Drosophila melanogaster: one gene and its partners. The protein of the gene in region 1 interacts with the protein of each later gene in a pairwise test. Each region holds a gene or a part of one and is shown in the gene's direction. Other genes may lie near its edges. The genes, in order: CG18476, Ant2, elfless and sesB.

What was found.
Region 2: the proteins of CG18476 (region 1) and Ant2 interact in a two-hybrid assay, tested with the Drosophila melanogaster proteins (one large-scale study listed by BioGRID).
Region 3: the proteins of CG18476 (region 1) and elfless interact in a two-hybrid assay, tested with the Drosophila melanogaster proteins (one large-scale study listed by BioGRID).
Region 4: the proteins of CG18476 (region 1) and sesB interact in a two-hybrid assay, tested with the Drosophila melanogaster proteins (one large-scale study listed by BioGRID).

What each region holds. Positions count from the first base shown.
Region 1 is NT_033777.3:11,674,301-11,682,343, reverse strand, and holds CG18476 (uncharacterized protein), read left to right. Parts: upstream 1-4,227; 5' UTR 4,228-4,327; coding exon 4,328-4,459; intron 4,460-4,526; coding exon 4,527-4,939; intron 4,940-4,994; coding exon 4,995-5,901; intron 5,902-5,959; coding exon 5,960-6,541; intron 6,542-6,612; coding exon 6,613-7,389; 3' UTR 7,390-7,424; downstream 7,425-8,043. Other genes in the region: CG6830 (uncharacterized protein), read left to right, coding at 1-109, 169-659, 715-1,081, 1,142-1,356; Ho (heme oxygenase), read right to left, coding at 1,472-1,699, 1,755-2,260, 2,317-2,473; Taf12 (TBP-associated factor 12), read left to right, coding at 3,131-3,400, 3,472-3,792; CG14715 (uncharacterized protein), read right to left, coding at 7,583-7,852, 7,916-8,043.
Region 2 is NC_004354.4:10,783,908-10,791,081, reverse strand, and holds the start of Ant2 (adenine nucleotide translocase 2), read left to right. Parts: upstream 1-4,174; 5' UTR 4,175-4,276; intron 4,277-6,623; exon of another isoform or gene 6,624-6,731; intron 6,732-7,174.
Region 3 is NT_033779.5:18,006,731-18,013,059, reverse strand, and holds elfless (elfless), read left to right. Parts: upstream 1-1,584; 5' UTR 1,585-1,683; coding exon 1,684-1,797; intron 1,798-1,853; coding exon 1,854-1,982; intron 1,983-2,048; coding exon 2,049-2,126; intron 2,127-2,194; coding exon 2,195-2,563; 3' UTR 2,564-3,417; downstream 3,418-6,329. Other genes in the region: CG31740 (uncharacterized protein), read right to left, coding at 3,567-3,752; CG42635 (uncharacterized protein), read right to left, coding at 4,234-4,632; CG42634 (uncharacterized protein), read right to left, coding at 4,722-5,066; CG42659 (uncharacterized protein), read right to left, coding at 5,343-5,492; CG5693 (uncharacterized protein), read right to left, coding at 6,059-6,277.
Region 4 is NC_004354.4:10,778,496-10,788,895, reverse strand, and holds sesB (stress-sensitive B), read left to right. Parts: upstream 1-1,988; 5' UTR 1,989-2,090; intron 2,091-4,437; exon of another isoform or gene 4,438-4,545; intron 4,546-6,006; 5' UTR 6,007-6,084; coding exon 6,085-6,119; intron 6,120-6,215; coding exon 6,216-6,516; intron 6,517-6,595; coding exon 6,596-6,723; intron 6,724-6,800; coding exon 6,801-7,275; 3' UTR 7,276-7,903; downstream 7,904-10,400. Other genes in the region: Ant2 (adenine nucleotide translocase 2), read left to right, coding at 8,379-8,699, 8,776-8,903, 9,201-9,675.

The sequences.
Region 1 (8,043 bases):
GAACCAAATTTCGAAAAGATCTTAAGCAGTACTTCAAAGTTGGCGACGAAACCTGGCGACAACTTTGCTTCCAAGCTGCTGAAGGTCGAAATCGAGGCGCAGTTAAAAGGTAAACTACTTTAAATTCTGAAATATTTAATATTATAACCAATCTTCTCACATCTACAGACAATAGCGTGAAGACCTTCTCGTACATCCTGAAAGTCCACAGCGACAATGACGCAATCAACTTCTCCGACTTTAACCTGTTTCCAAAAGAGATAGAGGTTTACAGCACATATGTGCCCGCCTTCGAGCGTTTCTATAAGGATGTTGGCCTACCAGTCACTTTTAGTCCGAAGTCCTTCCGGCTCAGCAAGGACGTCAGCAAGGAGTACCTGCTTTTGGAGAACCTGCAGCCGAGTGGCTTCAAGATGGTCGATCGCATGATTGGAATGGACTTGGAGCATTCCAAGTGCACGTTAAAGAAATTGGCCCAGTGGCATGCAGCCTCTCTGAAGTACAAGGAACTAAATGGACCCTATTCGCCCAAATACAATAATGGCATTTTTACAGAGCAAACGGCACCTATATTTAAGGGTATGTTTGTTAACACTAAGAAATCCTTTATAGAAGAAGTGAGCAAGTTTGACGGTGTGGATGAGTACTTGCACAAAATGGTAAGTCACTTTACTTTATTCCTTGTAACTAACTTAACAAAATCATATTTTGCAGCCAGAGATCTTGGATACGTATGTCGACAGAATACTTGAAGATGCCAAAATAAATGAACAAGCGTTTAATGTGCTCAATCATGGTGATGCCTGGATAAATAACATCATGTTCCAATACGAATCAGATGGTCGCGTCAAGGAAACCCTCCTGTTGGATCACCAAGTCACGAAGTATGGAAATCCTGCCCAGGATCTGTATTACTTCATAATGAGCTCCACTCAACTGGACATCAAAGTCGATCAGTTTGACTACCTTATCCGATGGTATCATCAAAACATGAAGGAGCACGCCAAGCTGTTGAACTACAACGGATTTATTCCCTCGCTAAAGGAACTGCACGCCATTCTGATACAGCACCCCATTTTTGGTAATTTACAGAAGGATTTGAGGTTTTTAAATTCCTCTGACTGACATGTTTTTCTTCAAGCTGCTGGAACTGTGCTCACTACCTTGTCGATGTGTCTTAACAAGACAACCGATGACTTTACCACTGATAGCTTTTTGGGAAATGAAGAGAATGGCAAATCCCTGAGGGAGGCAATGTTTAGCAACGAACGTTATAGGGCCAATATAGAGCGTGTCATGCCATGGATAAATAGACGAGGACTGCTTGATAATTTTGCCAACGGACATTCCCAATAAATACTTTACTTCAGACAAATTTCAGGTTATTTACTATTTAACAAACGACTAAATAAATGTGTGATCACAATTCTAACTTGCTCAAGAGAGCTTACATTTGTATTTCCTACTTTTCTTACTTGAGAGCAAATTTCACGGCCACTACAATACTTGAAACAAAGATTAGTGCGAGGGCCAGCTTCCTAAGATTGGCACGATTCACACCTTTGATGGTCCGTACTACTTCTATATTTAAGCGAAATACGTTGCGACTTTCCTCAATAAAAGCAGCACGCAAATCATCGTCAAAAGCTCCGTAGTGATTGTTGAAAACGCGCCTTAGTTTGGCCTTTAAGACAGAGATCTGAAAGTGGATATAAAGACAATAGATATAAGGAACAAAGTAAAAAGCTACGCACCTTCTCAGGAAAATATGTGGCCTCACATCCCGGCGGGCAAATGGTAACCTGGGCAGGCATTGGCCTGGCCTCCAAGTCGTCTTTGTCTACAGAGCCATCGGCAGCTCTGGCGGTGGCCAACTCTGCCTCCTTGTCGGCCTGCTTCTGCTGCTCCTCGTCATCGTTCTTTGAAAAGATCCACATTTTACGAGCGATCATACGCTTCTTCTGCAACATTTGTCCGCCGGACATCAAAGCCATGTACATCTGATAGGAGTAGGCGAACAGCAAGAGTTCGTTCTGTGCGGCAATCTTTTCCAGATGCTCGAGATATTTCTGGACCGCCGGGCGAATTTCGTAGTCCTTCCTCCAATCGGAACCGTAGAAATAGGCAAAATCCCTTTCAAATGCCGCTGTTCTGTGGAATTCTTTGGGCAGCAGGCGCTCCGGCAGATGGGTCTCAAAGAATTTGTACAGTTCGTAGAAGGCCAGGAGTCCATCATACCAGACCTCGTCATCAGAAAGGGCTATGGAAGAAGAGGAATATCTAATAACTTCTAATAATATCGTGTAATTAACGAACCAAGTGCGATCTTTGCATTCACTAGAACATCAGTAAGATTATGCACATCTTTTGTGGCTTTACGCAACTCCTTTGTGAACGCCATGTCTACGAATTCCACATCCTCCACATTCTCGGAGACCTGACTGTCCGCTATTGTTTCTTCGCTCGCTGACATGTTTCTTTTGCGCAGCTATTGTTCCCAATTACAAAGTAAAATATATTCCTTATCTACGTGATATTTGCAAAATACGCCGTCTTTGTTTTGTTTTGAACTCCACGCCAGTGTGGCTGTCTAACTAAAATATACTGAAATTAAACGTAAATATACCAAATTGCTTTATAGCACCAGCGGGCATTTCAGAGTCGCCTGCAACTGGCCATACTGTTGATTTGGCTGTAGTTGCTCCGCTTATTTTTATTTTGTTTAGTAATTTAGGAAAGTAATAGTTTAAGATCAAAGTGTTAAAACCGCAATAATTGTAAGTGTTGCATGCGCTAAGAGCAACTGCTAAGTAACACTTTAGTTTTAGTAAACACACAAAGCGACGGATTCTTAAGACCGCACGCGTGAAATTGACCACTCTATTCTTTTACTTACATTTCGCTTTGCAACCAAACACCCACGCACACACAATCACCGACTGCAGTTGAGAAAGCAGGAGGACACACAACATAAGCAGCAACAACAACAAGTACACTAACGCTTTTGGCTTTGGTTCTGCACTCTTACCCACTCCCCAAAAATCCGCCCAACTTACTGTACTTTCCCCAAACACTTCCAACCAACCGACCTACCACCCACTTGATTTGACTCTGAAGAAACCCAAAAGCAATGTCGGATCTCTTTACCACTTTCGATAGCAACGGCGTCGCCGAGCACCACCTGCACCACAACCACAACTCCACATCGTCCGCCAGCGGACTGCTCCACGACCCACCCATGGCCTCGCCCTCCCAGCACAGTCCGATGACCAACAACAGCAACTCATCCTCGCAGAACGGCGGACCGGTTTCCGGTTTGGGTACGGGAACGGGCCCCATATCTGGTGGTAGCAAGTCATCCAATCACACATCATCCGCCGCCGGTTCCGAGAACACTCCCGTAAGATGCGTGCCTTATGGAGTGCACACGGAATACGCCAGGGTCTAGTTTAACTCTCTTCCGAATTACAGATGCTTACCAAACCGCGTCTCACAGAGCTCGTCCGAGAGGTGGATACCACCACGCAGCTGGACGAGGATGTTGAGGAGCTTCTGCTTCAGATCATCGACGACTTTGTCGAGGACACCGTCAAGTCGACGAGCGCCTTCGCCAAGCACCGAAAGTCTAACAAGATCGAGGTGCGCGACGTGCAGCTGCACTTTGAGCGGAAGTACAACATGTGGATACCCGGCTTCGGTACGGACGAACTGCGTCCCTACAAGCGGGCAGCTGTCACGGAGGCGCACAAACAGCGCCTTGCCCTCATACGGAAAACGATCAAGAAATACTAGAGGATTGGATCTAATCGGGTCGAGGCTCTGTTTCGGTTTGCCGGATTTCGCGTATGCTAAACGTGCACACGCCACAAACTAATTTAAGCTCCAATTTAGATTAAATAACAAATTATCGTCGCTCTATTGTAGATTTATTGTAATAAAAGTGCACTATTGATTTCACATTCAACAATTGGTCACCGTCAGCAGTAAATTTTAAGTCGTGATTTTTTAATCACAGTTTCTAATGGTTCTGTAATATTTGTATTAATTGTTTGTCTGGTGGATATTGATTTATATTTTTCATAATTTAACAATTTCTTCAGTTTATTTTAAAAATATTTGTGTAATATTTCCCTTTGAAAATAATTAGCGGACTCTGCTGAACGCACCCAATTAATTGCTGTATTTTTTAACAACGTGGTATTTTTTTAATGACCGAACGGTATTTTCCATCTCTCGCATCAAGGTCATACCATCAATAATGTTGATTTTCTGATTGTTGATTTAAAATTAAAAAAGCTTTCAATTGGCCAAAACAAATTTGTTCGCCATGAAGCTGCCGGTGATTTGTCGCACGTGCGACTCCACGGACACCGACAACCTTCTGAAGCTGGCCACGCCCTCGAAAAAGTATCCGGACAAGTTGCTTTCGGAGATTTTATGCGAGCTAACCGAAATCAATGTAAACAAAGTTCTAAGAAGCGAAATCTACGAAAAATGCAAACTAAAATGAAACATTTACCTTTCAGCTGGATGCAACTGGTAGTCAGAAATTTCCGCAATGCTTGTGCAGTGGATGCACCAAAAAATTAATGGGTGCCTATTGCTATGTGAAGCAGGCGATGGCCGCCAACGAACTTCTAATGAAGCATCTAAAGAACGGTGCTGCTCCAACGTCAACCGACTGTCTGCAGGAGGCGCCGATGGAGCTGTGTGCTGAGCAGCATGTGGAAGTCAAGCTGGAGACTGAGGATGAGGACTGTGGCGAAAATGATGTTACTATCACTTGTTCCGAACTACCGGAACCGGACGAAACGGACATGGAGAGCAAAAAGTCGGTGGACCCACTGACCATGATTGAAACGGTGAAGCTGGAAATGGAACCCAGAAGCGTGGAGAAGCCAGCGTATGACGATCCCACATCGGACTTTGAAGACGAAGAGTGGGTGACAATTGGAATTTCCCAACTACTTTATTTTAACTAACTAATCTTGCAGCTCCCTGGATAATTTGCCACTGTATAATCGCATTCAAAAGTGGAAAACAGGAAGAAAGTCTGTATATAAATGTCACGACTGCCCTAGGAGTTTTAAACGATTCGACTTCTTGAAACGCCATGAAATGCGCGTCCATAAGCCAGAAACTCGATTATATGACTGCTCCCTTTGCATTCGCAAGTTCAGCCGCAGCGAAGCCCTCGAAGCACACCTAAAAATTCACCGGAATTCAAAACGATCGGCCAACATTAGCGAGCACAAGAAGGCCAAGGCTGTGGATTTGAATCTCTGCAAACCGCATGGCTACAAGCTGATTGAGTGCATGATCTGTCAGAGCCAATACAACAAGATTGCTGATCTGCGCCGGCATTTGGAGGAGCACCCCGATATTGTTAGCCTGTGCGGTCGGCCAAATATGGAGCCCCATGAGCTGGCAGAGCTGTTTTATCCCGATTCAAAGGACCTCAGTGAGGAGCAGTTAATCAACTTGATTCGCAAGGATCTAGCGGCGGGTATCTATCAGCGTTTCTATTCGATAACGAACCAAAGTGGCTACGAAATGGATCTGGACAGCTCGGAGACGGACAGCGACCTGGACGGAGATCACGATGACCAGCACAAGAGGCGAAAGAAGTCGCGCAAAGCCACCTACAGCTGCGAGCTGTGCCAGCAAAAGTTCCCGCGAAAATATCAGCTTTATGACCATCAGCGACAAAGTCACAGTTGGTCAGACGCTCCTCACGTCTGCGGGCGATGTGATGGACGTTTTGTAAGTCTGCAGCTGCTGCGCCACCACAACGAGTCGCAGTGTAGGAATGCACAAAAGCGATTTCTCTGCCACAAATGCCCGCTACGCTTTCGCTGGAAACACAACCTGAAAACACACTTCCGCGAACACAGGATTACAGTAAGTTAATCTAAGAATTGTTCAGGCTACAGACCCATTGCATCTATGAATTTTACAGAATCAAACGTTTGAATGTTCCGAGTGCAAACGGGTCTTTGATAAAAAGAAATCCCTCACCGTTCACCTGCTTAGCGTACATGCGGAGGAATCCAAGCTGATTCCCTGCCAGTGGTGCAGTCGCAAATTCTATCGGCACGACTACTTGGTAAAACACTTGAAGCGACACGGTTTGAAAGAGCATGACATTCCCTTGGCAGAAACATTGATTGCTGCCACCTCGCGGCCAAACGGAGCGAAGCGCATTACTTGCCGCATGTGCAATCTGCATTTCGAGCGTATTGTTGATCTGCGAGCCCATATCCAGTTGGAGCTTAAGCTATCCCTGTCGCTACACCAGAGCTACGACTCCCCGCATAATTATTCAATAACAAACGAATCTGGCTTTGAGCTGCAGCTGGAGGATTCGGAAACCGAAGACGAGATGCAGCCCGGTGTGGGCAGTCGCCCCGTATATATTTGCGAGCTGTGCAGCGTGCAGTGCAAGCGGAAGTTCGAAATGATCCAGCATCAGCGGACGATGCATCGCTTTGACAAAATGCCACACGAATGCGACGACTGCATCTTTAAATGTGTCTCCAAGGTGAGGTTTTAAATGTGTATTCTACATTTAACCAGTATAGATACATTATGTCAATTTCATTATTGCTTCAGAGCATTATGGACCACCACCGGCAAGGTCAGTGTAGTAGTACAGAAAAGAAGCATGCATGTGGCAAGTGTTCCTACAAGTTTATGTGGCCAGAGAACCTAGAGCAGCACATTCTCCTGCAACACAGCAAGTCTTCCGTCAGCAATCCGACTGGCGACAGACACACGCAAGGGACCGGTGACCTGGAAAAGGATGCCACTGAGGACGGAATACCGCTGCTACAGTGTCCACACTGCGATCGCACGTACCAGATGAAGTCGCGCCTGAACAATCATATTCGCGATGTGCACATTAACGGCGACCGCAAGCGCAAGGAGGCAATTAAGCGCTTCCTCTGCTCCCTGTGCGGAATGGAGACGAGATCAGCCGCCGCTCTTGTGACCCATATGCGACGCCACACTGGCGAGAAGCCCTTCAAGTGCGATCTGTGCGAAATGGCCTTTCCCCGCCACTCAGAGCTGGCCTCGCACCGCCGGATGCACACCGGCGAGAAGCCATTCCACTGCACCGTCTGTGGCAAGGACTTTGCCCGCTCCGATAAGCTCAAGCGCCATATGCTTACGCACAGCGGCCTAAAGCCGCACAAATGCACCTACTGCGAGAAGAGTTACCGTCAGGCCAAGGACCTGAAGCTTCATCTCCAGCAGCACACCGGCGAATGTCCTTTCGTGTGCGGCACCTGTGGCGAGCGCTTCATCCAGAGCAGCACGCTGGAGAAGCATCGGTTGATGCGGCGTCACTTCGACGAGGTGGAAGCGTGGCTGAGACGCCAAAAGTAAGGGGCTCTTGCAATAAATACAATTTGGTCTAGTATAAAAGGAATGACATTATTATTTATTGGTCGTGGCGTGGCATCACTTCAGAAACAAGACAAATTACTACTTTAAATATTTGAGCATTAAATGTTTATGACTTTAGTTGAAAGTAAACTTTGGGTGTAGCATGGAATGCCTATTTGTGGCCCTATTCGCTTTACAGCTCTTCAGATCCAGAGCGCGGTTCGATTTTTACCAACTCCGTATCGAAGACGAGCACCGCATTGGGGGGAATCTTTCCGCCACCCGCTCCACTGGCTCCGTATCCCAGCTCAGGCGGAATCGTCAGCTTTCGCTGCTCACCCTCACACATACCAAGGATTCCCTGATCCCAGCCCTTGATCACCTGCCGAGCTCCCAGGGTAAAGGAGAAGGGAGTGCCGCGGGAGTAGCTGCTATCGAACTCTGTTCCATCCTGCAGTGCTCCCTAGAATGATTCCAAATTCGGGGTTAGGTCGGCTAGAGATCTTCCTTATCTGATTTCCCTTACTCTGTAGTGCACGTGGACGAGATCGCCGCCCTTGGCCTTCCGGGTGCAGTTCTCCACCCGCTTCTTAATGCCAATCTTCACTTTCGGATCGCTGGCAGCGGAGGCGGCCACAAAAGCGCAGATTAACA
Region 2 (7,174 bases), on another chromosome or scaffold:
AAACTAAACCGAAACTGAAAATAAAACATTTTTGAGAAGAGAAAACATGAAATAAAACTTTCAACATTTACTATATATTTTTAGCATTTAAGATCCAAAAGTGGAAAATAATAAAAAAAAACCTATTGTGTCAGCAGTAAGAAAATGTACTAAAAAAGTTTACACATACAAAACACACATTTAAAAAAAAAACACAAAAATTTAACAAAATGAAACCCAAAAAAAAAGCGATAAGCATGAACTAAAAACACCCAACAACCGAAGGGAAAATGACCCCAAAAATTTTGAAAAAAACACACACCCCAAGAAACACTAAATTCTTTATGTAAAATTCGATATGGAAATCCCTATTCATATTGTATATGTACAATAGCAACAACGCAACATCAAAATGCATTAAAATGTTGTATGATGTAGACTATGCATTGGAACGAAACGAAACGAAACAAGAAAAGAGGATAGAACGGAGAGGATAAGGAGAGCAAACGAAACGAAAAAGAATGAGAGAAAAGCGAAAGCAAAACTAGTTCAAAGAGTCTCTTTACCCCCGAACCACTGAGCTTTGTTTGTTTGTTTTTGTACATTTCAAGCATTTTGAATATACATATATGCATATATATTTAATAGACCTTATTTATACATACATTTATAATTTTTTATTGTTTCGATTTGTAATAGATTATATACGGTAATCAACTGGAGACTGAGCTACAACATATATTTAGTTACCGTTATATTTATTGCAGAGACACACACACATACATACACTAACACCAACCCCAACACCCTACATGCAAAAAAACAAAAAAAAAACACCCATTCACCACCACCCACATGCAACATCAAACTATATTCTATAACCAAATTCTAACTAAAAACCTTAATCTATAAAAAAAATAAGCATGCATAACGCTATATAAATTATAAATCGATAAGCCTGGCGTTGCGTAGTCAGTTTATTGCATTTTATTTGGCATATTGAAAAATGATTTCCGTTTTATCTTCCGTTGATATCTTACTACCCATATGGGAATCAATCTACGATTCCCGCTTATTTACTTTGATTATTTTATAATTTTGTTGTTGTGTATATCATTTTGCCGCCCTCGTCAACCAACCAAACACTCCACTTCCATATTCCTATGTCCCCATAGTCCCTCCAAATCCGAACCCCACATCCAGCCACCCAATCAATTCCATTTAATCAGACCTCCCCCCTTCTCACTTCTCCAGCGCCTGGTTTGCCTGTGTGATAGTAGTTTATAATTAAAACCATCCGCTGGGCACCCAACTCCCCTCATGGGACCTTAAGCAGTCCCCCCCCCCCTTTCACCAGAACCCTAACCTGCACACATCATTTTTTCAATTTTTGAACGGCGAGCAAACTATATAGAAACCACTTTACACATAATATACTAAAGCTTAAAACAAAAAAAAACATAAAATTAAAGATGAAAACTTACAAAAAAATACCACTATTTTTACATTAATTATTTTTAAATTTATCCTTATCTTTACCTAAATTAGTTTAGAGCTTTTTTTTGCGTCGTCTACATTTTACTGTTAAGTTCATTTAATCTACACATAATCTACATGAGGATGATGTGACGACACCAGATGTATCTACACTGTACATTGTATCTACATTACAGAGCTAAAATATCTATAAATATTATAAATATAACAAAAAAAGAGTAAAATATTATTAAAAACACAAAAAAAAAAACAAAAATAATTCGTTCCTTGGTTGTTTTTATTTTCGTTGTAGTTCAGTATTTTTGATTTTCAGTAACTGGTTTTCCTCTCTCCTTTCCAAATCGGCTTCGATTCCGAAATCCTATAATCCCGATCGTTTCGAGAGGCTTTCGATGTTGTCCCTGTACCCAGACATACATATATTAATGATCCGTAACCCCCTATTCAAACAGTTGTCTAAATTATTAATTTAATGTGAATTTGAGAAGAGCTAAAGTCGTCAGATAAATTCAAATAGCGTGTGAGTACATACATAGATGTATACCTAACTAACAACACCGATCATATATATGGAGTACACTAAACTAACATAACCTAACGTAAACTAAAATAAAGAATAAATGAATGAATTAACTACCTCAGCTTTGAATATTTCTATAGAAATGTTATTAAATGTATTTGAAAAGCGTAAGAGATATACAAATGCAAGATGCCGCCAGATCGAAAGATAGTTAATAAAAAGAAAGACAGATGGAACAGAACAATGTCAAAGAATACAAGTTTTAGAGCTGCATTTATATAGTATCAGATCGATAAGGAACATAGTAACAAAATCGTAAAACAAAACCAAAAAAAATATATTAAGTGTACGTTTTGCATATTCCTATATAGTTAACTAAACGTAAAAGCAAGATGGGTAAACATGAATACTACTATAACAATCATTTTGCGTCCATTTTTGTTGTTTCCTATACAAGAAAAAATTAAATAAAAACAAAAACAAACCACAAAAAAAAAAAATAAACAAAAAAAAAGCGAACGAATAAATCACACAAATAGGATGAAAACAAAACTATATTCCCAATTACATTGTATAACTGTCTTTTAACCACAAGCAAAACGCTAACACAATCGGTACACGATAACCAATATACTATACATATATCAAATATCCACTCTGTGTATGTTTTGTATCTGCCATGGAATATGTACCCGAAAGTAATCTAGATAACCACGTAAAGGACATAGGACTCGATGTCTAGATGTGTCGTCATAGTTTAGAGGCCCCAGTATTTACTAGCCAGTACTTTGCATTTGTTTGCCTTTATCTTTTACCTTTACCATTGCCTTTAAATTAACCCCTCTGTCCAACCAACGAAATTCAAAAGAAAGGGTTCTTCATTTGATTACCATACCCCTCAGCACGCCCAAAACTCCTAGTATTCTGGCCTGTCCCAGGGTGCTGATTCAAAAACTAGAGATATACATAGGTGTATACATAACATACTAATCTGCGTAAGATGTTTTCCCCATTTCGGTGTAACTAAATGTTAATATTGCTAGCGCTCAATACGAAATTACCGTATACAAGACCCACATACAGCAAATAAAAAGACACAAAAGCTTACTAAATTGTATCCCAAGGCCAAGGAAAATATTAGAAAACCAGATATACAACTAACTCAAATACAATTTTGTGAACATGTGAAAAACAAATCGAAAAGAAATTTACTCAATAAATGATTTTTCGTATATAAGAAGTGCATTTTGAATCAAGTTTTGCGATTATCCTTTTCAACAACGTTTTAAAATTAAGAATATGATATTTTCGAAAAACATTTTTCAGAATAACTTGGCCAAAAAAGGTGGCTCAGCTAAAACGATGACTGTTTTGTGTTGCTTATTAACATTGCTAACAATCTGTAACACTTTCAAACCGAGTTTCAGGAATAATTTTTTTGACCAATTTAAGCAATTTTTCATTAGGGGTACCATCATCAAAATTCGACAAATTACCGATTTTCTCATTTTCGATAACCAAATTTGCAAAAAATGGCCAAAAATTAAAGTTGCCAGACTTAAATACAGTTCGATGAGGAATTTGGAACGATTTCAACGAGGTATGAGATATTCCAATTTTGGACAAACCTTTGATTTAATATAAAAAGAAAACTTTTGTTTTTGTAAAAAAAAGAGCAATTAAAAAACCGCGTTAAATGCAATACATTCAAACTAGTTTTTATCATAGTTTGGCAAAAGGAGGTCGTACAGGTCGTTGTTAATTTCCCAAAGAAGCGTGCAGATTAATTGTAATGAATCCATTATTAAAACATAAAATAGTCTTTAACTTTTGTGTAATTCAGAACTCGCAATAATATAATATATAATATAAAATAATATAACATAATGGGAAAGTCGATGTAAAAATATTTTTAAGGTATTAAAAAATATCGATATTGATGCTTCAATCCCCGCTTGCCTTAATTTTATAATAAAACGTAATATACTGGTTTTAATTACATCAAAAATAGCCATATTTATTTATACTAGCAAAAGTTACCGACAAAAATATCACGAATAAAAACCGAAATCTAGCTGAATATCGATAGATCGCCGAATAAATACCAGTTAAAGCAACTATCGATATGCGGTATTTTTGCAGCTTTCATCCCCAAGTCACTGGGCCCTCGAGACCCCCACCACTTTACGAATTTCATTCGCCAAGTGAGCACGCGGCTTCGTCTGATTCTGCAAAAGAAGTTTTTATTCTGTGACTTTTGTGAGAAGTTATCAACTGAAGGTATTGTGCTATTTTCTATATCTATTACATTTGCGAGGCTCTTTTGCTTAACAAGAAAAGAGACGGTGTGCCCCGTACCTGCCATTGATTTTTTTTTACCCATTAATTCACGTCACCTTGCGCTAGATTCTGTAGTTATGTAATGTGCTAATTTTTTTATTGTGTCGGTGTTGGTTTAAACTAACGTTTTTTTTTGTATGTTCGACAAGCAGTTCCGGTTTAACTGCATCGAAAAGAAATCCCGAAATGGGACTTGAAAATACCCGAAAAGTGCTTACATAACCCTTGCGAAAAATAATTGTGCCGAAATTGTGTTTGCCATCAATTAAACACGTAATAAATTGGGCGTATTAGCAAACTTTTCGGTATTTTATACCCCCAATCCAAAGTTCATTTAGAATACCCAGAAAGAAAATGGAAGAAGCCACGCTGGATCTTTTTCCCATCTATTTCCTTCCAATTTGCAACCACGCTGGAACTGCCAACTTATGCAATAGCAACGAGTTGGCAGGCCGGCTCGTCTGTACGAAAAAATGTTGCACATGAATTGCGATTATATTTCAAAGAGAATTGCACTTCTCTAGAATCAAATTGGCCTGCATTTGCACAAATATATTATTATATACACCAAATGCAGGCTATTCTATAGTAAAACGCGTGGCAATTGATTGTTCTACCGCCCAGTCGCACATGAGTGTGTATGAACACACAGTTGCGAATAAATTCCATGTGCCACTAACGCCCTCTCGCTCACTCCCATGCCAGACACCAGCTGCGCGTGCAAGTACTTATCGGGTGTGTGTGTGTGAAGAAGAGAGAGAGAGTTGGTTTTATTTCTTAAGAGTAATGTAACTATTTCTCTTTGGTTGCCTCCCTTTCTTTTCTGACCTGCTTTCTTTTATTAAAGATAAAAATTCATGCGAAAAAAACGGGTTTCCCCAGTGTTCTCATTTCTTCTATTATTATTCCATTCCCATACCCCTTAAACCCTTTCTGACGTCAATCGTTAATGTACGTATAGTATTCATGTGATTTATTGTTTATTGTAGCCCTTTGTGTGGCCTTTTAGTGCGATTTTGCACTTGGTTGAGATTAGTGTTTATTATTACATATCCCTGGCGAATCACATTTCCAATTCTCGCCCAGTCGGCGGAAATTTTCAGTGTGATTTTCAAGCCGATCCACGCCCTGTCCTAAAACCCCGATTCATCGCACACTGAGCCATAAAAATTATAACTTCGCTGCCGTTTAATTTTGGCAATTAAGCATTTTTGCAGTAACTTTGCAACTGCATTTTTTACGCTCTCTTTTTTGATGGGCAACTAGCTCTCTTTTATTTTTTATGTAATTTTTGTGATAACGGGACCTTGAAAAAGTGTCGTAGACAGTTATATAAATTAACTGTATTAGCAGAAGTGTTTATCTAATCGCTTCACGCATTTTTTTTCGAGCGCCGCCCCTCTTCCGCCTGCGTGAAAGAGACGAAGCGTGAGAGAGAGGGAGAGAGCGGCAGGTGGACGTCAGAAAGCAAAGTCACATGCTAGCAGTGCTGCCAACCCTATCTTTAGAAATAAAGCCAAATGTTATTAATAGCTTAGCAATTAAATAGCTACAAACAATTAATAAAACCTTTCAACTCTTTTCAACTTTTATTTTTATAAAAATTGATAATAGTTTTGGTTTTTGTATTTGAATAAATTGTTCACTGCTGTATATTGAAGTTTTCTAAGCCAGTCCAAGTAGTTCTTAAAACTGAATATCAAAGATACCCCAATTTTGTTGAATAAGGAAGACATGTATTTGGGTGTAATAGAAGTACACTATTCAATCTTCTAGAAATCTAGCTAACAACTAGCTAAACGGGACTATCCGTCTGCTTCGCAGCTGACTTGTCGGCTATTTGCCAAATGTAAATGTTGTGCGTACATTCATTTTGGCAAGCGTTTAGAAAGCGCCGTCGAAAACCTCGAAAGGGGTAAATGAAAAACAATTGGCCATATATGCATTTTTGGTCATGGCCAAAACGAAACAAAAAGTGTTTTCTAATGAGTACAAGTGTGTGGTACAATACTTCCTCTTATGCAACGAATGGCGACATTGAATTCTTGAATTCTCAGCACTGATAAGCGGCGATCTCTCGCCCTCTCTCGCTCGCACACGTGCTGTTGCCAACCGCTAGTTTTTTTTCGGCTCTCTCCGAATTTCGCATACTCTGCATATGCATATAGAGAGAGAACGCTCTCCCCCTCTCTCGCTCACGCTCATCTGTTGCTGAACTTGACGATGGCGGCGACTGCGACGCCGACGTAGGCAGAGCAGGCTAGCTGGCAGATTTCGGCGAAAGGAACTTTCACAAGCAATTCAGTTGCCGTCCGGTTCAGACTTCTGACTTCCGAGGAATAAGGATAAATTTTTTTCGGTTTTGTGCTGTGATATAGAAACACAAATACAAATTGTACGTATGGCAAACAAATTGGATATCAATTATCGAATCGAATTGAGCCATAGCCCATTTAACAAAATACGCGTGTGGTTCCTAATGCTTTTATTATTATTTTTTTTTTTTAAATCAAATCCAACCTGAGCATTGAAAGAAAATCTGCCTGGTTATGTAAAACAACAAAAGAGTTGAACTTGAATCATTCATTGAACAATTTTTTTTCTGGTGTGTGGTGGTGGTCTTATGCAATCAATAACAATGAATTAAGAATAAACTTAACACTGGATTGTGGATACTACTACGACTGCTCAGCCTTCGGTGGAAGCTTTCCACGTGCAACTGTAGAATTTTTCCAGCTGAGGCTATTACATCACGAGCCTTTTAGCTCTCGGCTCTCTGTGGCTGTGGCCGAAGAAAAAGCTTCACTCTCTTTCCAGCCAATCAAAAGTCTAACACGA
Region 3 (6,329 bases), on another chromosome or scaffold:
AATCCAGGGATCCTTCGTCAAACTTACCCAATGCACAACGGCATGTAAATCGAAAATTACCAGAAATTGTCACTTTACATCACGCCTGCTGCAGGACCTATAAATCATACTGCACACACACTTATGCACGGGCGACACAGGAGCCACAATCTGGTCTAGTATTTTGGCAGCGCAGATCCTTTCGGGTATGAGTGTGCGAGTGAATATTCAAATCAGTTGCTGGCTGCCAATAAATGAAACTTGCCACACATCTCACTCACTGAGCGCACATACACAAACACACGCCCACACACACTCTTAAATTGTGTCGGGATATTTGAATGGTCCCGTGTATTTAGCAAATGAACCGTACTTTCTGTTCTGTTTAACTTTTTGGCAACCCGCACTAACCAAATATTACAGACTTTAGCACGGCAAAGCGATCGGCGAACGGGAATCAAGCTAAATGCCAGATGAATGGCACCGTCATTACGACTTTCGCAACTCTCGGGCTGCCAATTAACTCGCCCGATAATTTAATTACGGTTAGGGCCTCCAGGATTGGGTCCTGATGTGTTGCCAAGTCTTATCGGCCAGATCTGCGGCAGAGCAATCCTACGGATGAAATACGCTAAAATCACTGGGCTGATTAAGCCGAATCGAACTGCAATCCGCACTCTGCGCGAGCCAAACGTACACTGAAGTCGGCCGAAAGCGCGCTGAAAGTTAAATCGGAAGTCGAGAACGCGGCTGGAGCTTCCAACGGCTCGAGACAGTCCGAGCGGCACTTGCAACATGTTGCAAGTTCGTGTGTGACTTCGGGAATTCTATGTTGTTGAGTCCGGACTTTCGATCTTTGAATTTCTTTCGTTGTAGGGAGTTACTTCTGTTAGCATATTTTTTAATTTTATGTTAACCATTTAAGATACAAACATGAGAGAATGCTATAGTCGAGTTCCCTAACTTTTAGATGCCCCTTACTCAGCTAGTGGGAATACGAACGCGAAATTCGATCATTTTTCTGGGATATCGATGAATGTGAAAACATTTAAAAATTGTTCTAAAGTCTGGGCGTTAGAGTGGGCATGGCAAAAAGTTTTGTGTCTAATCGATAAGAATTAACAAGACTAATAAAATTATAAACAAATTTGATTTGGGCGGTTTGTCGTTAGAGTGGGCGTGGCAACAGGGCCAAAAAATCTGTGCTGCGTCTATGTCTCTAGAATCTGTCCGCTTAATCACAACCTTCTTGCTTTTATAGTTCCTATGATTCTTTCATACGGCCGGCAAGACAGGCGAACATAGCCAGATCTACTCGGTTTTGTATCTTAATTAAATGGAAATTCCTTCTATTTGTTTCAACGAATCTAGTGTACCCTTTTACTCCACGAGTACCTGGTATAAATAGTACTTCTTAGGGTGACAATCCTAAGCAAATATCCAATTTGGAAATCATGGAAATCGGACAATGATTGTTGGCGCGTTGAAATGGTACTTTTTATCGCAGTGTGACCTTTGGCACTTAAAATACTGGTATTGTGTCCTGGAACTTTCAAGATTTTTTGACATATGTTCAAACAGCTTTCTTGTAAATTTGCAAATAAAAAGCAAGGAAACGGGTTCAACTGAATTTGTAAAAAGTTGTAAGTTCCAAGGCAGAATTCATTGGTAGTATTAAAACTGCAAAAACAGGTGCGATTTCAAATGGGTGATTCCAGCGACTCAGACTCTTCTACTGAATGGGAGCAGAACACTAGGGTTATTTCCTTACCCTTTTCCAGAAACCGTTCACATTTGAGCTCTCGCCTCAGTTACCTGGTAAGTTCATGTTCACCCAGCTCTGAAATCTATTGATAATACACTTTATGGAATAGGTGGGACTTCAAATGGAAAACTTCAGGACCTCGAATAATTCTGGAGTATCACAGCGAATCCATAACACCGGGCCCACTCCCGTACTCGCGCCCTCCGGATTAAGATCCCGCTTACTCAGCGGTTCCTCTGTAAGTTATTGTTCTAGCCAGGTCCCACCCAGAATCCATTGGTTACATTACAACATCATTTAATAGGAGCGGAATCCAAATGAGTATTACGGAGACTCGGACTCCTCAAGCAGCAGCAGATCTATCGACAGAACCCCATTCCTGGTAAGTTCTTGTTCGTTCATCTCGATCCGGAATCCATAGGTTTTAATAGCTTTAACTTTGTTGTGCAGTTGGAGTATTCCAGCGACTCAGAGTCGTCTAGTTCCAGTGATAGTGAAAGCTCATCGACCAGCATTAGCTTCGATAGCAGTATGAGCTCCACCGAATCATCAACACCAATGGGACATACAGAATCCTCAGATTCAAACGAGGATTCTCCTCCCAACAAACGGATCAAATCAGATGACGAGGAGTCCAAGAAATCTGTCTTGCCCTACAACTGCCCTGTGTGCCTGGAAGATGTCCGCGAGAAGCTACCAGTGTCCACCAATTGTGGCCACGTTTTCTGCAAAGCGTGCATTAAGAGAGCTGTCGACACTGGCAGGGTATGCCCATTGTGCGGAGTGGATGAGCCCGAATTCCATCGTATTTTCTTGTAAGACGTGATATGGCAGAAAGCATACTAAACTAAAAATACCACGGTTTTAAATACCACAAATAGACTTGTGGCATATACTTTCGAAAGACCGTAACACAATATTCACACCTAAAGAAACTGTTGCTCCATTATAACAACGCAAACAAAATCTTATCCCAGGCAACATACTCAAGAAACACAATGCAATCGAAAACTTTCAGCTGAGAAACTAAAACTCAAATACAAGACAGACAACTTTGGCCATAAAACATGGCGCAAGGACACACTCGCATACTTGCAGGAAACCCCGGAAAAATGGAAGGCAAGCAATGAAAATTCCGACCTACCGCAATAAATTCCGCGGAAAAACAAAGCAAGTGATGCCAAAATAAGAGTGAAATGGCCAGCTCACACACACACATGAATGTAAATGAAGTGGAATCACCACCTCAGAAAAACTCAGGGACACCTCAGACACGGCCCTGTAAATCGCGCTTATCCAAAACACAACATGGCATCAGGAGGCATTGGAGATTCAGTTTCATTTTCATTCAAAGATTGAATAATAGAAGGGGGTGTTCCATCCCTACCCCAACAACCTTTGACCTGACACAATGCTCTACATTCTATGTTTTTGTTCGAGTTGCGCGTTCGAATCGCGACTGCGCAATAAACCTGATGCCCCAAACAGCTGTTCTAGGCAAGACCTAGGACAACATTTGCATCCTTAACTGGAGGCTGGCCATCCACGTTTACATTGACGTAATCCACTTGCCAGGTTGGATCTATTCGGTGTTGAGATATATCACAAAGCAGTTCCTTTTGTACTTTAATTCATTTTATTACTGAACAGCTTATAATAAAAATTCTTTATGTATACGAGAGCTTAGTTGGTTTAGCCCCGGCCAAGGCAAAAAGGAATTCGAACAGCAACATATTTCTCCAGCAGTCTTTTCCAGAAGGTTGATCTTTAAATTGACTTGTTACCGCTTGCTGCCGTATTAATGCCTATGATAGCGGGCGCTTCACCAGCCGCAAGGACACGAGCTGCAGCCACCACAAGGACCACATGGACCACAGCAAGGACTACAGCAACCTCCACAGGGACCACATCCGCAATAGGGAGTTCCTCCCATCAAAGGAGCCAGGCAGCCGGGTGGGCAGGGTCCAACGTAGAAGGGATCGAAGCTGCAGCAAAGCATCAGAACCATCTTGAAAGTTTGGATTTGGTAAAGGACACTGGAATCTCTTCTAAAATCTGCAGGAGGGGCTCAAAAGGTACGGCTGCAACCATTCAAAACGGGGTTTGTTATTAACAAAACATTACCAAATATTTAAAAATTACTATAGGGAACAAAGCAATTTTACAATTTTTAAATTGTATAACTTTTTTATTCAATTTTAACGAACTAGAACGTACCTGGGATTTTTTTTCCTGCTGAAGAAATACGTTGAAGTTAATCCTTGGCTACGAATTTAGAATTTTTGTTCAATTTTTCATATTGTTTTTTTTTGTGTTTTATTTTACGAAAGAGATGTGTTCAGTCCAAGCTGTTCAAAATGAATGAGCTCTCTAGGTTTCGAATCCCACAAAGCCCACAAGATGAGTGAAGTTTATTTCCAAGGCCAACTAGAGAAAACTAAAAATTTCCTTTTTTTTGCTTTCTATTCGACATAGTTGCTGACTAGATCCTACTCCTCTTCGGTTAATTCTGCCGCTGGCGGTGTTTCAGGTTTTACTACTACCGGTTCCGAGTCCTTTTTATCCTTTTCGTCTTCCTTGGAGGAGCCCTCGGAATTATGTTCACTGCCAAACTTAGGAAGCAATGGTCCTACAAAGGCACATGCCTTGCCTCCAATACTTTGTACCACGGAGCAGGCGCCATCCATGCGATCGCCCTCTACTAGAGGAGTTTCGCCCTCGACGGCGGACAGCTGATCCGCCACTGGACCACCGCGCCTCACAAGGTCAGCGATCGGATCACGGGTTTGGTTTAACACCCTGCCACCCACTTCAGTTAACGAACGGGAAACTACCATAAACAGGGCCACTATGCCCGCAACTCCGATGGCCGTGTGAACCATTTCCATATCTTGGGCAAAGGAGCAGGATCTTCTGGAGGATCAGGAGGGTCGATGTCGGATTTTTCGATCGACCACGATGACAAATAATTCTAGGGCTACTCTCCAGCCATCGCCGAGATGGTATTATAGGTCGAACGGGCCAAGTTTCGGATACTTCGCGAAATTTCATTTATCAGGTAGTTAATGTCATCCGAACTGACCACCTGCTCCTGGTCGACATGGTGCTCCGGCGTTGAATCGTTTACAATCAAGACTATTTTACGAACGGGCTGAATCATGCCGGATACATCGATCACGGGCTCCGACACATGGTGATCAACCAGAAATGCCTGATGCATGATGATCACCAATTGGCGGATTACTGGCACCACGCGATCGAGGACGTTGATTGCCATTGGGGCCAGTACGTGGTGTACCACGTGATCCACAGACGAGGACATGACCAAGAGACTTGAATTTTGAATTTAGAAAACTATTTTCACACAATTTGCGACCTGATAAACTAAAATTCCCAGGAGTTCTAATTTGAAATCTAAGCCATTTCGATTGGAATATTTATATTATTTCCCCAGCAATATTCAACAGTTTGGTGACGATGAATCAATTTTATTATTTCTCTACATAGATGTGTGCGAGGCTAATTGGTGTGCAGTTTCAAAGTTCAACTATATTTGTTCCCGCCGTTATTCTTGCATTTTATACAGGTACTCGTCTCGTCAATAGCTGCTATAGCAACGACTGTGCCAGCCACCGGGGGTGTATCCTTTGTAAATGTCGAAGTTGCACGGACATACTGCGCATCTCGGATAGGGGCCAATGTAGAAAGGGTTTATGGCCGGAGTCCAAGGACGACTTAAGTAAACCATTTTCAGCACTCGAAAGAAGTCTGCAAATCTTATTTTATAAATACATCTCCCACATTTTCTCTTTCGAAACTCACCGGAAATGGAAGAGAAAAATGAGAAATTTAAACAAATGTTTGACCAGAACAACACGTTTCGTGCTTGAAATTTGAATGAAGAAAATGCGTATGTACGCTTATGTGTTATTTTGTTGACATTTAAATCAAGAATGCTGGTTTAAATTTATTTGACTTCATTTTAGATAGATCATAAGAAAATGAATTAATTTTATCTGTATTTTTTATCCACAGTTATTTTGTGCTAAAATAGAAAAGAGCTGGTAATTTGAGGTTAATATATATTATTATTGTTTTTATTATTTATAGATATTCATTTTATTTATTTATTATTATTATTAATTTTTTTGAAATATAATGTTACAATATGACGGTTCGATGCCCAGGAGATGATGAGCTAAATGGGTTTAGCTCAAGATGTTTGAAGATATTAGCAACACACAACAAGGTTGTGTGTTCAGCACATCTCCAAAGGACTCCTGGTTCATTTTTGCAGCTTTGCCTTTTTCCCCACTACTTCTGTTCCCGGAGCTTCGGTTCTTTTTGGGCTTTCTGGTCCAGTGGTTGCTTCGCCGCGTCCTTGTTGGATTGTGGGGCGGGATTGCATCGGGGTAGTTGGGACTCCGGGCAAACTCCGCACTCCGGAACCGTGCAGTGGCCCTCCTCCAAGCAATCGGGGTCACAGCAGGGCGGATCGGGTCCAATGTAGCCCGGATTAAATATGCAAGGCATGCTGCAGCACCTCCACTGAAAACGAAGGTCGAGGCAGATGGCAGTGGCAAAT
Region 4 (10,400 bases), on another chromosome or scaffold:
TGCCGCCAGATCGAAAGATAGTTAATAAAAAGAAAGACAGATGGAACAGAACAATGTCAAAGAATACAAGTTTTAGAGCTGCATTTATATAGTATCAGATCGATAAGGAACATAGTAACAAAATCGTAAAACAAAACCAAAAAAAATATATTAAGTGTACGTTTTGCATATTCCTATATAGTTAACTAAACGTAAAAGCAAGATGGGTAAACATGAATACTACTATAACAATCATTTTGCGTCCATTTTTGTTGTTTCCTATACAAGAAAAAATTAAATAAAAACAAAAACAAACCACAAAAAAAAAAAATAAACAAAAAAAAAGCGAACGAATAAATCACACAAATAGGATGAAAACAAAACTATATTCCCAATTACATTGTATAACTGTCTTTTAACCACAAGCAAAACGCTAACACAATCGGTACACGATAACCAATATACTATACATATATCAAATATCCACTCTGTGTATGTTTTGTATCTGCCATGGAATATGTACCCGAAAGTAATCTAGATAACCACGTAAAGGACATAGGACTCGATGTCTAGATGTGTCGTCATAGTTTAGAGGCCCCAGTATTTACTAGCCAGTACTTTGCATTTGTTTGCCTTTATCTTTTACCTTTACCATTGCCTTTAAATTAACCCCTCTGTCCAACCAACGAAATTCAAAAGAAAGGGTTCTTCATTTGATTACCATACCCCTCAGCACGCCCAAAACTCCTAGTATTCTGGCCTGTCCCAGGGTGCTGATTCAAAAACTAGAGATATACATAGGTGTATACATAACATACTAATCTGCGTAAGATGTTTTCCCCATTTCGGTGTAACTAAATGTTAATATTGCTAGCGCTCAATACGAAATTACCGTATACAAGACCCACATACAGCAAATAAAAAGACACAAAAGCTTACTAAATTGTATCCCAAGGCCAAGGAAAATATTAGAAAACCAGATATACAACTAACTCAAATACAATTTTGTGAACATGTGAAAAACAAATCGAAAAGAAATTTACTCAATAAATGATTTTTCGTATATAAGAAGTGCATTTTGAATCAAGTTTTGCGATTATCCTTTTCAACAACGTTTTAAAATTAAGAATATGATATTTTCGAAAAACATTTTTCAGAATAACTTGGCCAAAAAAGGTGGCTCAGCTAAAACGATGACTGTTTTGTGTTGCTTATTAACATTGCTAACAATCTGTAACACTTTCAAACCGAGTTTCAGGAATAATTTTTTTGACCAATTTAAGCAATTTTTCATTAGGGGTACCATCATCAAAATTCGACAAATTACCGATTTTCTCATTTTCGATAACCAAATTTGCAAAAAATGGCCAAAAATTAAAGTTGCCAGACTTAAATACAGTTCGATGAGGAATTTGGAACGATTTCAACGAGGTATGAGATATTCCAATTTTGGACAAACCTTTGATTTAATATAAAAAGAAAACTTTTGTTTTTGTAAAAAAAAGAGCAATTAAAAAACCGCGTTAAATGCAATACATTCAAACTAGTTTTTATCATAGTTTGGCAAAAGGAGGTCGTACAGGTCGTTGTTAATTTCCCAAAGAAGCGTGCAGATTAATTGTAATGAATCCATTATTAAAACATAAAATAGTCTTTAACTTTTGTGTAATTCAGAACTCGCAATAATATAATATATAATATAAAATAATATAACATAATGGGAAAGTCGATGTAAAAATATTTTTAAGGTATTAAAAAATATCGATATTGATGCTTCAATCCCCGCTTGCCTTAATTTTATAATAAAACGTAATATACTGGTTTTAATTACATCAAAAATAGCCATATTTATTTATACTAGCAAAAGTTACCGACAAAAATATCACGAATAAAAACCGAAATCTAGCTGAATATCGATAGATCGCCGAATAAATACCAGTTAAAGCAACTATCGATATGCGGTATTTTTGCAGCTTTCATCCCCAAGTCACTGGGCCCTCGAGACCCCCACCACTTTACGAATTTCATTCGCCAAGTGAGCACGCGGCTTCGTCTGATTCTGCAAAAGAAGTTTTTATTCTGTGACTTTTGTGAGAAGTTATCAACTGAAGGTATTGTGCTATTTTCTATATCTATTACATTTGCGAGGCTCTTTTGCTTAACAAGAAAAGAGACGGTGTGCCCCGTACCTGCCATTGATTTTTTTTTACCCATTAATTCACGTCACCTTGCGCTAGATTCTGTAGTTATGTAATGTGCTAATTTTTTTATTGTGTCGGTGTTGGTTTAAACTAACGTTTTTTTTTGTATGTTCGACAAGCAGTTCCGGTTTAACTGCATCGAAAAGAAATCCCGAAATGGGACTTGAAAATACCCGAAAAGTGCTTACATAACCCTTGCGAAAAATAATTGTGCCGAAATTGTGTTTGCCATCAATTAAACACGTAATAAATTGGGCGTATTAGCAAACTTTTCGGTATTTTATACCCCCAATCCAAAGTTCATTTAGAATACCCAGAAAGAAAATGGAAGAAGCCACGCTGGATCTTTTTCCCATCTATTTCCTTCCAATTTGCAACCACGCTGGAACTGCCAACTTATGCAATAGCAACGAGTTGGCAGGCCGGCTCGTCTGTACGAAAAAATGTTGCACATGAATTGCGATTATATTTCAAAGAGAATTGCACTTCTCTAGAATCAAATTGGCCTGCATTTGCACAAATATATTATTATATACACCAAATGCAGGCTATTCTATAGTAAAACGCGTGGCAATTGATTGTTCTACCGCCCAGTCGCACATGAGTGTGTATGAACACACAGTTGCGAATAAATTCCATGTGCCACTAACGCCCTCTCGCTCACTCCCATGCCAGACACCAGCTGCGCGTGCAAGTACTTATCGGGTGTGTGTGTGTGAAGAAGAGAGAGAGAGTTGGTTTTATTTCTTAAGAGTAATGTAACTATTTCTCTTTGGTTGCCTCCCTTTCTTTTCTGACCTGCTTTCTTTTATTAAAGATAAAAATTCATGCGAAAAAAACGGGTTTCCCCAGTGTTCTCATTTCTTCTATTATTATTCCATTCCCATACCCCTTAAACCCTTTCTGACGTCAATCGTTAATGTACGTATAGTATTCATGTGATTTATTGTTTATTGTAGCCCTTTGTGTGGCCTTTTAGTGCGATTTTGCACTTGGTTGAGATTAGTGTTTATTATTACATATCCCTGGCGAATCACATTTCCAATTCTCGCCCAGTCGGCGGAAATTTTCAGTGTGATTTTCAAGCCGATCCACGCCCTGTCCTAAAACCCCGATTCATCGCACACTGAGCCATAAAAATTATAACTTCGCTGCCGTTTAATTTTGGCAATTAAGCATTTTTGCAGTAACTTTGCAACTGCATTTTTTACGCTCTCTTTTTTGATGGGCAACTAGCTCTCTTTTATTTTTTATGTAATTTTTGTGATAACGGGACCTTGAAAAAGTGTCGTAGACAGTTATATAAATTAACTGTATTAGCAGAAGTGTTTATCTAATCGCTTCACGCATTTTTTTTCGAGCGCCGCCCCTCTTCCGCCTGCGTGAAAGAGACGAAGCGTGAGAGAGAGGGAGAGAGCGGCAGGTGGACGTCAGAAAGCAAAGTCACATGCTAGCAGTGCTGCCAACCCTATCTTTAGAAATAAAGCCAAATGTTATTAATAGCTTAGCAATTAAATAGCTACAAACAATTAATAAAACCTTTCAACTCTTTTCAACTTTTATTTTTATAAAAATTGATAATAGTTTTGGTTTTTGTATTTGAATAAATTGTTCACTGCTGTATATTGAAGTTTTCTAAGCCAGTCCAAGTAGTTCTTAAAACTGAATATCAAAGATACCCCAATTTTGTTGAATAAGGAAGACATGTATTTGGGTGTAATAGAAGTACACTATTCAATCTTCTAGAAATCTAGCTAACAACTAGCTAAACGGGACTATCCGTCTGCTTCGCAGCTGACTTGTCGGCTATTTGCCAAATGTAAATGTTGTGCGTACATTCATTTTGGCAAGCGTTTAGAAAGCGCCGTCGAAAACCTCGAAAGGGGTAAATGAAAAACAATTGGCCATATATGCATTTTTGGTCATGGCCAAAACGAAACAAAAAGTGTTTTCTAATGAGTACAAGTGTGTGGTACAATACTTCCTCTTATGCAACGAATGGCGACATTGAATTCTTGAATTCTCAGCACTGATAAGCGGCGATCTCTCGCCCTCTCTCGCTCGCACACGTGCTGTTGCCAACCGCTAGTTTTTTTTCGGCTCTCTCCGAATTTCGCATACTCTGCATATGCATATAGAGAGAGAACGCTCTCCCCCTCTCTCGCTCACGCTCATCTGTTGCTGAACTTGACGATGGCGGCGACTGCGACGCCGACGTAGGCAGAGCAGGCTAGCTGGCAGATTTCGGCGAAAGGAACTTTCACAAGCAATTCAGTTGCCGTCCGGTTCAGACTTCTGACTTCCGAGGAATAAGGATAAATTTTTTTCGGTTTTGTGCTGTGATATAGAAACACAAATACAAATTGTACGTATGGCAAACAAATTGGATATCAATTATCGAATCGAATTGAGCCATAGCCCATTTAACAAAATACGCGTGTGGTTCCTAATGCTTTTATTATTATTTTTTTTTTTTAAATCAAATCCAACCTGAGCATTGAAAGAAAATCTGCCTGGTTATGTAAAACAACAAAAGAGTTGAACTTGAATCATTCATTGAACAATTTTTTTTCTGGTGTGTGGTGGTGGTCTTATGCAATCAATAACAATGAATTAAGAATAAACTTAACACTGGATTGTGGATACTACTACGACTGCTCAGCCTTCGGTGGAAGCTTTCCACGTGCAACTGTAGAATTTTTCCAGCTGAGGCTATTACATCACGAGCCTTTTAGCTCTCGGCTCTCTGTGGCTGTGGCCGAAGAAAAAGCTTCACTCTCTTTCCAGCCAATCAAAAGTCTAACACGATTAGATAACGGTTGTTATTTCAAAGAAAGAGAACAGAAGAGAAACGAAACAATGGCAAAGCACAGTTCTCTTTGCCAAGTGTGTTACATAAAACCCTTGTCAATGAAATGCTGATTTAATTTCGCTAAAATATAATTTAAACCACACGGCTAACGCAGAGCGGCGGCTGCTCTTGAAAGTCTAAAATTAACAAAACGCGCTTCAATGGCGAATGCCAACTGCCAAAAAAAAAAACCGTGGCCTCTATAGCCATCTTGCTCACACCCACTCAAATGCCCATATATATTGGCTTTTTCCATTGAACTTTTTCAATTCAATTCTTTTCTTTTTTTTTGTGTGGTGTGGCAATTATGCAATCCCCCAATCTTTACTCAATGAAAACCAGTAGACTGCCGCTCTATCCAACTAGAACTGCAATTGATTTATGTCATATTCTCTAGATAACATAAATTAGATAAGCACTTATGTATTTATGTATGCCACGTAATGCCATGTATTTTACTTAGTTTTCAAAGCTAACTGGTTAGAACTTAATTTTCCAACAGTACTTATTTTATATCGATTTAAACCACCACGTGGCAACCAGCCGGCCAATAAAACTTTTCACCTTTTTTGCACAAAACCAGTTTTACCGGCAACTGCCAACACGCATACTAACACAAACAACAAATAATTGTAACCAAAACGCTGATGTTTCCATAAACCATTCAATATTAACCCCCTTTAGCATTAAGTTTAAGTTGCCATTTATACTAACTGTGCATGTTTTTATTTGTTTCATTTGTCGCTAAAACCTTTTTACTTCACCCGCAAAAATGTTTTGTAACCATTTGTAGTGCTGTTCAAAAAAAAAAGTGCATGTTTTTCGGTTTCGGTTTATAACTGTTCAAAAAAATAAAAAAAAAGTGCATGTTTTTCGGTTTCGGTTTATAATTTAATACATTGAAAATTTTCACATTTTCATTTGGCTTTGGGCTATTCTTCTATTGTGCCTTTTTTTGCACCCGTGTAAACAAAGTGAATCGTACATCCACTATACAAAAATACCGTAAACGTATATCGTAACCATTATGCAACGCACCATCACCCGCATGCCATGGGGAATATATCAGCATCCATAACATCACAAAGGTATATCATCATCGGTATCACCAAGTATCACCATCAGCGATGACGGAACTGTCGAGATTAATCAGAGTTTTGGCCAATTGCACGATGTGTTTACAGCAAAATGGGCAAGGATTTCGATGCTGTTGGATTCGTCAAGGATTTCGCTGCCGGAGGCATCTCCGCAGCTGTCTCCAAGACTGCCGTCGCCCCCATTGAGCGTGTGAAACTGCTCCTGCAGGTTCAGCACATCTCGAAACAAATCAGCCCCGACAAGCAGTACAAGGGCATGGTTGATTGCTTTATCCGCATTCCAAAGGAGCAGGGATTCTCGTCCTTCTGGCGCGGCAACTTGGCCAACGTCATCAGATACTTCCCAACCCAGGCTCTGAACTTTGCCTTCAAGGACAAGTACAAGCAGGTGAGACTTTGCAGTCTGCATGTTAGCAATGCGAGCGGAAAACACTAACGCCCCGGTTGCTATTATGTGTGTAACTTAGGTCTTCCTGGGTGGCGTGGACAAGAACACCCAGTTCTGGCGCTACTTCGCCGGCAACTTGGCCTCCGGTGGTGCCGCTGGTGCTACCTCTCTGTGCTTTGTCTACCCCTTGGACTTTGCCCGTACTCGGTATGTTGGTATATTTGCGAAAAACAAAAAAAAAATGTCCAATAAACTAACGTAATGCTTTCGCTACGAATTTACAGCTTGGCTGCTGATACTGGCAAGGGTGGTCAGCGTGAATTCACCGGTCTGGGCAACTGCTTGACCAAGATCTTCAAGAGCGACGGCATCGTTGGATTGTACCGTGGTTTCGGAGTGTCCGTGCAGGGCATCATCATCTACCGTGCCGCCTACTTCGGCTTCTACGATACCGCTCGCGGTATGCTGCCCGACCCCAAGAACACACCCATCTACATCAGCTGGGCCATCGCCCAGGTTGTGACAACCGTCGCTGGCATCGTGTCCTATCCCTTCGATACCGTGCGTCGTCGCATGATGATGCAGTCTGGTCGCAAGGCCACCGAGGTCATCTACAAGAACACACTGCACTGCTGGGCCACCATCGCCAAGCAGGAGGGCACCGGTGCCTTCTTCAAGGGCGCCTTCTCCAACATTCTCAGAGGAACTGGTGGCGCTTTCGTGCTTGTGTTGTACGATGAGATCAAGAAGGTCTTGTAAATTAAATTATTAAATTATTCAAAACAAGCAAAATACAACAACATACAACAACAAAACAAAACAAAAGAAGTAAAACTAAACACTACCAGCTAATTATGTTAGATAACTGAATGAGAAAAGCTAAAACAACAGCAATAGCAACAGCAAAGGCATAAGCTAAGTTTGATCTGCAACCAACACCTCTTACCACGAACAACGGCAAGCAATAACAGCAAGAACCCTTCCTTCCTCACCCCGATATAATTATGAAATTATATTATTTATAAAAACTGGGAACTAATTTACGGAACGATGGCCAGCGTCAATAGAACAACAATACTACAGCAAACAGCAATGCTCGGGGCAGAGAGAGGATGCGACTCAGCACATGAGACTAGACCCACTACACTGAAAGACGAACGAACATAGCGACGATATCGATTAGTATTGTTAAGTTTGGGTTAGGCTATATACTATAGATCCAGTCATGTTGCTGGGTCGTCCCACATCTCCCCAGCCAAATCAGTGTTATCGATCGGATGCAAAGAATCGAACCGAAGACCTGTAGATTCTTTCGCCTCCGAAACGACAAACCAACAAACAAACTCAACTTCGGTTGGTTTAAAAATATATAAAAATTGATAAAAATAGTACAATGTTGTGTTTTTCTTTCTGCGCACGTACATATGTATGTATGTATATCGATCTTTCATATTTCGACTTGAACCCAATTATTGCAATGAAAGTACATATGTATTTGTAATTCAAAAATTATATTAGCATACTTACACAGACCATTTGTGCAGTCAACCAATTGGTCGTCTCAATTTAATCTTCGGCAGTTCGAAGCTAAATTATTATAATTATTTTCTGTTGTTAAAAGAGGAAAAAAACGTACGCTCATCGCTTCTAAAATTGTTGGTCAAAGTAGGCCACGATAAATACATCGAATGTCATTTCGACCGACTGGCACACAACCTCGTTAGCCAATCTCAGTTCAGATCTCAACGTTGTAACATCAAAATTAAAAATTGTAAAAAGTGAAAGTCCGTTTTTATCCTTTTTTACCAACCAACTTTGAAGCTAAACTAAATCGTTTTAAAATCATTAAACAGTAAACTAACATGGGCGATGAAGGCGGTGGCGGTGGTCATGGCAAGGGAGACCTTAAGTCTTTCCTCATGGACTTCATGATGGGCGGCGTTTCAGCTGCCATAGCCAAAACGGCAGTGGCTCCTATCGAGCGCGTGAAGCTCATTCTGCAGGTGCAGGAGGTTTCCAAGCAGATCGCGGCAGATCAGCGCTACAAGGGCATAGTCGATTGCTTCATTCGCATTCCCAAGGAGCAGGGCTTCTCGTCGTTCTGGCGCGGCAACTTGGCCAACGTAATCCGATACTTCCCAACTCAAGCCCTTAACTTTGCCTTCAAGGATGTGTACAAATCGGTTAGTTGTTTGGACAATCCTTATAATAATCATTTCACATACGCCTATAACATATAAAACATAAAACATACTACAGGTATTCCTCGGGGGCGTGGACAAGCACAAGCAGTTCTGGCGCCACTTTGCAGGAAACTTGGCCTCTGGCGGTGCAGCAGGTGCCACATCTCTGTGCTTCGTTTATCCACTGGACTTTGCCAGAACCCGGTAAGTTGATTCATTATATACACATTCAATTGGTTTTTTCATTTATACACATATACATTAAAAATTGATAATTTTGAGTAATTGAGGAAAACAATTCGAACCTTTACATACTTACTATAGTCGTTCAAAATAATCGATGTCCAAATGAGATTATACATTAAGACGCTTTTTCTACAACTGCATTATTCACCCACATGAACTGTTTTCCCCATTTGATTTGAATTTGATTTACTTTCATTGGATTCGATTTTGTTATTAACTATTTATTACTATTCCAATTCAATCTTCCGCCGACAGTTTGGCCGCCGATGTGGGCAAGGGCGGCAATCGGGAGTTCAACGGCCTGATCGATTGTCTAATGAAGGTGATCAAGAGTGACGGACCCATCGGTCTGTACCGTGGATTCATCGTGTCGGTGCAGGGCATCGTCATCTACCGAGCAGCATACTTTGGATTCTATGACACTTGCCGCGACTTTCTGCCGAATCCGAAGAGCACACCGTTCTATGTGAGCTGGGCGATTGCCCAGGTGGTCACAACCGTTGCCGGTATTGCCTCCTATCCCTTCGATACTGTGCGTCGCCGCATGATGATGCAGTCTGGCCTGAAGAAGTCCGAGATGGTGTACAAGAACACAGCCCATTGCTGGCTGGTGATTGCCAAGCAGGAGGGCATTGGAGCCTTTTTCAAGGGCGCCCTATCGAACATAATTCGCGGCACGGGCGGTGCTCTGGTTCTCGCCCTTTACGACGAGATGAAGAAGTACTTTTAGCCCCAGTGTGCCGCCGTTTGTGGTGGGCCAATTCGATCGCCAGCAGCAGCAGCAGCAGCCCCGGCCACAGCAAATGTCACACCACGATGGCGTAGCACCAACCGAACACACTGTCCACCTCTTCGTCGAGGAGGACTTGCTCCCACGAGCCCAGTAGTAAATTAATAATTTGATTTGATAGGTCGCCCCACATGGTGGTCGGTCCCTCATTTCAGATTGTGTTCACTTTCGCAGTGGTTGAGAAAATACAAATAATATATTGAACTCAAATCTTTGTTGTGCGCTCTTTGTTTGTTTTCATCATCGCGTGTTTTTTGCTTTTTGGTGCATGTGTGTGTACGGATTAGGGTGGGCCACATCTAACTAGGATCTAATTATCCTCTCAACAAGCTAAGCTAGTCGTTATATTCAACTATATGTGAAGGACAAACAAAAAAAATTTAATTAATTTACGTATATTATTTTGTCTCGATTGAATACATTTCAAAAAAATTACAAAATCATTATATGTACGCCATGAAATGATAAAAGGTTATGTACTATATGGGCTGCCCACCCTACTCGTTTTCGTAGATATGGTCTTGTGCGGGTGGATTTAAGACTTAAACGTTAGTTAGCCATTTAAATAAAAATAACATTAAAAACAGAAAGCCATGTCGCTTTCCATTGTCAATCTGCTGCATACGTTAATTAACAACAAAAAACAAAAGTACAAAAAAAAGAGG